Linked DNA regions of Stegostoma tigrinum. The protein of the gene in region 1 interacts with the protein of each later gene in a pairwise test. Links are inferred from orthologs where the notes say so. Each region holds a gene or a part of one and is shown on either strand. Other genes may lie near its edges. The genes, in order: mab21l3 and aggf1.

Region 1 (3,930 bases):
AAAGCACAACTCAATGACTCATATATCCAAAGAGGAAAATAAACATCTAATACTTTTCAAACATCAATTATCCATTAATGGCATGATTTATATTAGTTGCTAGAATAAATGTCAATATAGATTGTGTCAGTTGGCTGAGGTGCCAAATAAACAACATCATTAAGCATCAACCATTCCACCCCTCTAGCCCAGAAGTGTTTTTGTGAAGTTATTTTTTTACTTCACAAGTATAGTCTGCTAAATATTTACCATCTGGTTTTGCACAACAGCTAGCACTGCCTTCTCAAAAACAACATAAACTTATTGAACTGTTTATTAAACTTATTTTCTTGCTCAGAATTTAAACAATGAATGACAGTCATGCTTAGAAAAATCACATTATCTGGGTGAACAATGTCCCAGTTTACAGAATGGATCATTGGTTGAATGTCATTCCAACCTTTTATATTGAGCAGGAAAGCCCATTGGGTAATATTTTTAATCTATGTGATACTAAATAGGGCATGGGCATAGTTCCAAATTTCTAGACAGGGTGCTGCACATCACAGCTGTCCCTCCCTGGCTCTCAATGTACAATATACTATTAGGTGTGTGAGAGACATTGACTAGCATTTGTCAATAGTACTGCAAATCGATTTATACCACTTACCAGCTGGAAGATTTCATTTTGGATCAGATTCACAGTCTGAAGCTTCTGTCAATTATTATACAATATTCGATAATAGTGTGATGTTGCATGGCATAACATTTACACTTGTGGGTTTATTGAAGATGATGTTGACAATACTCCAAAGACAAGAAATGTCCTTTTTCTGCTTTGGGCAATACAGTGAAGTAATTTCAGCTCAAAGTACTACTTTCAGAAAACAGTTTATGAGCAATCTCCTAGTAGGCTAGCTTTTAATATTCAACATATTGTGGAAAGTTCAATGAGGTGTGACGTTTCAGGTTGGGTGAAGGTTCTAACTTGCATCTAACTAGTATGGAACATGATGCCAGTAAGAAACTGCACTTACAGAACAAGGGCAAATGTTAATCTTGTTTATGGAGATTGAAGCAAGCTACCAACACTTAAATAAGTGAATAATGACAGCGCACCCTACCAGTACTAAGTTATTTGATGACTGACAGCTTCTGCTTGATGTCCAGGAGTGGAACAGATGCTGTTCTTCTCTGACTCAAAAGAGCCATTTGCTAATAGAACTAGTGGTTGGCGTCAGCTGGAAGTGTATCTGGGTCTCTGCTGACTTGAAAATCAAATCTCCTCAGGGTGTGAGGCAGTGTTACTAATAATGAATTCTCCTGAACGGTAAGAGTTTACTCATAAATTATATGGCTCAGGCATTAAATAGGGATTGCCTCTGAATTGAGAGAATTTCCCTTAGGATATTATTACCCTTTAAAACCAAAAATGTCAAAGAGGGTGAATGATTTGCTGTTTGAATAGATCATACCATTTTTCTGTTCTGCCACAAGACAAACAGTATTTTTGTATTTTTTGAATGAGGTGAAGAAGATTACGTTTTAAATACTAAATATTAGTCATTAAGCATCTCAAATCTGTTGGCGCCTCTTTAGGCAAAAATTTAAATCCTATGCCATGCTAGAAAAATTGACGAGTTGATATTTAGATTTTGTGCATTCTGTGGATGAGGTTAGGAGCAGTTATTTCCACGCAATGCCTCAACACTACATAAATGGAAATTGATTGATGCTCCTACTTTAAATATAACAGTACCTAAAACAGCCATTAGCTGTTATATCTATCCTCATTCAACTCCTAGAAATAAATAATCTGTGTGCACTCTCTTGTTACAGGAGAATTCATGGAAAAAAATTAAAGGAACTGCAAAAAAGATTTATAAGAATATATAGTGCAATATTTAAAAAGTGTGCATTCCTGGATAAGCTGTTCATCTATCTAGGAAATGTGCACATTTCTGTAAGTTTAAGCTTTTGTTTAAGATATGTTTTAATTTACAAATGGCTGAATTAAGGAAACAGTAGAATGACTTGTTTCCAAAGTAAGAAAATACGTGGCTTATATTGTTAGACTGGCAATGTATAAATGGCACAAAGTAATGAGCAAGAGGTTGATGACTAATGAGAATTTCTTAATTCGAAGACCTTGTAATTATTCAAGACACATTTCCCATAATTTAACCCATTATTTGTTTTTTTTTTAAAGATATTAAAGTTAACATTTCTGTTTGGTTGAATAATCATTGCCTGTATCAAAAATACTGCAGTGTTGCAAAAAGCCATATTTTATCCAGTGAAAAATTTCTATAAGAAAACAAATTGTTGATGCATATGTCAAGCAGTTCACCAAGAAACCAATTGCTGGAAAGATTACAGCATGTAGACAGTAGGGGGCAAGTCAGTTATGAGAACTATTTAAAAATTGTGGAAAAAAAAGTTTTGTAAAATATATCAAATTGTTGAATTCTGAATAGGAAGTCTGGAGGCTAATTTGTGTCATATAATTGTTTTGGAGTGAATATCGCATTATATGAAGAACATATTAATGCATTTATGCCAATATTATAGAACCCATGTTTAATATTCTTCAAGACAGTTTTCCATTTCTTTATTTAGGCTGGTTGACTAAACTTCTATTTAATCCTACTTCTTATGAATTAACAATAGTTCATGCTTAAAATATTTATCTATTTTTATTAACCTGTTTTAACTTCATGGGATTTATATTTTTGTTTTCATTTTACTTACAAAGAGCTTTTAATTGTGACTAGAAATAATAAAATGGTCAATGTCTTTATCCTCAGAATACTGTAGGATATTGACGGCAAAATAAAAGCTTTGTCAGGAATGAATCAATTGTCCAATAAATAAGAGGATAGCTTCTAACACACACAAACAAGGCAGTGATCAATAGATCAGTCATATCAACTTGCACCAAGTCTTCTTCACCAGTCTTCCCTGTGTTCATTGGCCTGCATGGGTCATGATGAAGCAAATAAAAACATTTGTGCTACATAGCACCTGTTATAACTACCAGAATTTCCAATATGCTTTGCAGTCCATGATGGACATTTGAATCATAGCCATTGTTACCATATAGGAAACTGGGTAGCCAAAATGAAGACTGCTATATCCTACATATAGCACAGTGATAATGACACGATAATCTTTTTTTCATTGTAGCTTTGCTTGTGAGATATCTTTTGGCCAGGATACACTGTTGTTCTTCAAAAATAATGCAATATCACCTATTACAGGAAATTGAGAGGGCCTTTGTCTAATATTTCAATCTAACGATGGCAATGCACTGAAATGTCAGCCTAGATTTTTGGACTCAGGTCTCGGACTGTTATTTGAAACCACAGTCTCTGACTCAGAGACAAAGTGTCATAGAGTGCTACCAACTGTGCCAGGTTTGACACAACAGCTCCGCAAAATTTAAAATTCCAATTCTTATTTTCATTTCCCTTCATTGTCTTACTGTTGTCTATCTCTGTAGTTTTCACCAGTCCCACAACATTGAGATGTTTGTACTCCTGTAATATGTACGTCTTGAGGATGCCCAATTTTTATTTTTTCAAAATATGTGGCAAGCCTTTGACTAAAAAGATAGTAACGCTTTCCTGCCTAAACCTCTCCAACAATCTGTCTCTCTTTCCTATTTCAAATCACTCCTTGAAATCTACCTTTTTGGCCTGGCATCTGTCTTATTATCTCCTCATGAGCTCTTGTGTTAAGTGAAAATGCCCTTGAAAATGTAGAAACATGTCTATTCACAGTGGCTTCAATTTTGGAAAAATTTGAGCAGGAGTGGGCCATTCAGCCATTGAGCCTGTTCCACTATTTGATATGATCATGGTTAATCATTGTTAATCAAACACTTCAATGCTTTTTGCTGATAGTTTCCCCTAGTAGTATCCCCTAGTAGTAGCCACTAATAACCCAAAC
Region 2 (3,930 bases), on another chromosome or scaffold:
TGCCTCTCATTATCTTGTATACCTCAATTAGGTCCCCTCTCCTCCTCCTTTTCTCCAATGAAAAGAGACCGAGCTCAGTCAACCTCTCTTCATAAGATAAGCCCTCCAGTCCAGGCAGCATCCTGGTAAACCTCCTCTGAACCCTCTCCAAAGCATCCACATCTTTCCTATAATAGGGCGCCCAGAACTGGACGCAGTATTCCAAGTGCGGTCTAACCAAAGTTTTATAGAGCTGCAACAAGATCTCACGACTCTTAAACTCAATCCCCCTGTTAATGAAAGCCAAAACACCATATGCTTTCTTAACAACCCTGTCCACTTGGGTGGCCATTTTAAGGGATCTATGTATCTGCACACCAAGATCCCTCTGTTCCTCCACGCTGCCAAGAATCCTATCCTTAATCCTGTACTCAGCTTTCAAATTCGACCTTCCAAAATGCATCACCTCGCATTTATCCAGGTTGAACTCCATCTGCCACCTCTCAGCCCATCTCTGCATCCTGTCAATGTCCTGCTGCAGCCTACAACAGCCCTCTACACTGTCAACGACACCTCCGACCTTTGTGTCGTCTGCTTTGTAATGTATATTAACAACCAGGACTTGGGCATTTCAAATTACACAAAGTGACAAAATGTGGAAATGAAACAAACAATAAAGGGCACAGTGACAAACTTCAGAAGGACATGGACAAATTGGCATACGGAATTTAATGCAGAGAGGTGTGAGTAGATTCAATTTAAGAAGAATGAACATAAACCTATGCAAAGAAATAGGACAATTATAAGAGGGTAAACGAATAGATAAACTTGTACAACATTGTTAAATATGGTAGGGAAGTGTTACAGCTTAAGAAATTTTTGGTTTCATTTCTTGAAGCATAATTACAAAAAGAAAGCATTCATACTGTATAAAATTCTGGTAGCTCTAAGCTAAAGCAGTTTGCAAATTCTGTGCACCATCCTTCAGGAAGAATTAAAAGGTTTCAGAAATGATGCTGAAAAGACTTACTAAAATAGCACCGGGAAAAAGAACTTCAATTAAAGTGGAGACATTTGTACAGGGTAGGGTTATTCTCTGCAGAGTATAGGCTAAGAAGGATTTGACAGATATTCAAAAATCGTGAACAATTTTGATAACAGTAAATAAGGAGAGCAATTCCGGGTAAGTGGTGGAAAGCACACAAATTTGAGGGAATTAGTAAAAGAATCAAAGGCAGTAAGAGAAGGCACTGCTATTAAGAGTTTAAAACAGATTTCAATGTAAACATTCAAAAGATACTTGGTTAAGTGTTCAAAAGGTTAAAGAAAAAGGCTGGGCGAATGAGATTAATTAGATAACTTGACCAAAAGACAGTGTAGGCATGATTGGTAAAATGCCCTCCATCTGTTTTTTAATCACTCTATGATAGGAAACAGAAAAATTGATAAAGTTATTCTGTGTGATACATGACAAGTGGATTTTTATCAGAAAATTGCTGAATAAAAGGATCAATACTCTCGGACATGGCATGGATTTAAAATCCTACAATAATTTAAGAAATAATTAGAGCCCACAATAGAAGACAGACGAACCGAGATGTACTGAGAAGCCTCTTCTATCTGCATGTATCTTGCATTGTTATTGTGCAATGAGTACAATGATGGTGACGACAAAACCACTGCATAAGAAAATTAATCAATATTAACAAACTTACACCAAACACATGGTACTTTTGATACAAGTCTAACATAGAAATCTTCGTAATGCGGGAGGCAATCACGTAGATCCCATCAAAAACTGGACTGTTGCAACGAAATCCAGAAATCAAATATAATTGCCTCCATAGCATGTGGCTTTGTTTTTAAAATAGGAGTTAAATTCTCCTGTCTGATATAAAAACGCTTTATCAGATGGATGACTTTGCAAGACCCAGTGAAGGCATTATAATACGAGCTTTGTAAAGGATGAGTGTCATTTTCACATAGAAACTGTTCATTTGGGCTTTGAGATATAGACCATAGAAATTTTCTTTACTGTTAGGTAATAGCCTTGGTTCATCGACAGTGCTAACAAAAGGCACTTGCAAAGAAAATACTGCTCATTTTAGTTTCTGTCTGGGCCTCTAAGCACCTGAATTCATTATAGCTGTAGTCCAAAAATGAACAAATTAGTAAACTCCAGACAAGAGGTGACAGCTACTACTCTTGACATCAAGGCAACATTTAAAAAAGTATCACATCAGAAAACTCTATCAAAATTGGAGATAATGTGATTTATAGGGGACAAAAAAAAAGACTGTTTGTTTTAGTCATACCAAGCACTAATGCTTGTTGTTGTAGGAGATCAGTCATCTCAGCTCCAGAACTTCTCTGCAGGAGTTCCTCAACGCAGCGTCCTAGGCCCAACATCTTCGCCTGCTCCATCAATTACCTTCCCTCCATCAGATCAGAAATGGGAACATTTGATGTGTGCACAATGTTCAGCACCATTCATGACTTGTCAGATATTAAGCACATTCAGCAAGACGTGGACATCATCTAGTCTTAGGCTTGTAACTGCTGAGTAACATCTGTGCCACTGTGTGACTATCTCCAACAAGAAAGAATCTGAACTTTACTCTTTGATGTTTCATAAAATTACCACCACTGGATCCTCACTATTAACATCTTGGGGGCTGCCAATGATCAGAAACTGGACTGGAATCGCCACATAAAAATGTGGCTTTTTGGCCTGGGTGCCTGTTACCATAGGTGTGTGACAAATCTTGGTGCTGAGCCTACTGCTTTTCATCGTTTATTTAAATACTTTGGATGTGAATACAGGAGGTATGGTTAGTAACTTTACAGACGATACCAAATTTGGTGGCATAGCAGATAGTGAAGATTAGCTCAGAGTACAATGGAACCTTGGTCAGATGGACCAATGAGCAGTAGATGGAGCTGAATTAAAATAAATGTGAGGTGTGACAACCTGAAAAGGCTAATCGGGGCAGGATGTATACACTTATTGGTAGGGGCCTGGGGAGTGTTTCTAGGGGTGTAGGTGCATAGTTCCTTGAAAGTGGAATCACAGGCAGGGTGGTAAAGGTGGTGTTTGGTACGTTTGCCTTCCTTGGCCAGTGCACTGAGTATAAAACTTGGGATGTCATGTTTGGTCTGTACATGACATTGGTTAGGCCACTTTTAGAATACTGCATTCAATTCTGGTCTTGCTGCAATTGGAAAGAAATTGTGAAACTTGAAAGGGTTCAGAAAAGATTTACAAGGATATTGCCAGGATTGGTGGATTTTAGCTAAAGGGAGAAGCTGAATAGGCTGTAGCATTTTTCCCTGGAACACTGGAGGCTCACAGGTGACCTTAGAGAAGTTTACAAAATCACAAGGTGCATGGACAGGGTGAATAGCCTTTTCCCAAGGTAGGTAAATCCAAAGCTAAACTGCATAGGTTTAAGGTGGGAGGGAGAAAATTTAAAAGGGTCCTGAGGGGCAACATTTTCATGCAGAAGATGCTGCGTGTTTGGAATGAACTACTAGAGGAAGTGGTGGCGGCTGGTACAATTACAACATTTAAAAAGTATCTGGATCGGAACACGATCAGAGAGGGTTTAGAGGGACATGGGCCAAATGTTGGCAAATGGGACTAGATCAGTTTAGGTTATCTGATCGGCATGAATGAGTTGGACGAAAGTGTCTGTTTCCATTCCATATAACTCTATAAGAACAGGTCAGGTCAGAAGTCATGAATTCCGCAATGGGTAAATCATCTCCTGCCTCCCAATACCATCCACCTTCTACAAGGGACAAATAAGAAGTGTAGTGGAATACTCTCCACTGGCCTGAACAGGTGCAGCTCCAACAACTCCCCGAAGTTTGACACCATCCAGGTCAATGTTGACCACTTGACTGGGATCCCAGCCCACATCTTCAACATTTAATCCCTTCACCGCCACG

The links.
Region 2: the proteins of mab21l3 (region 1) and aggf1 interact in binary tests that used the Homo sapiens proteins (3 or more experiments, as listed by UniProt). The two-hybrid records come from large-scale screens. The link is inferred for Stegostoma tigrinum from reciprocal best matches to the Homo sapiens genes MAB21L3 and AGGF1.

The regions. Positions count from the first base shown.
Region 1 is NC_081365.1:40,417,643-40,421,572, reverse strand, and holds the start of mab21l3 (protein mab-21-like 3), read left to right. Parts: upstream 1-1,096; 5' UTR 1,097-1,309; intron 1,310-3,930.
Region 2 is NC_081356.1:106,671,528-106,675,457, reverse strand, and holds the start of aggf1 (angiogenic factor with G patch and FHA domains 1), read right to left. Parts: upstream 2,513-3,930; 5' UTR 2,404-2,512; coding exon 2,295-2,403; intron 1-2,294. UniProt on the Homo sapiens protein: Promotes angiogenesis and the proliferation of endothelial cells. Able to bind to endothelial cells and promote cell proliferation, suggesting that it may act in an autocrine fashion.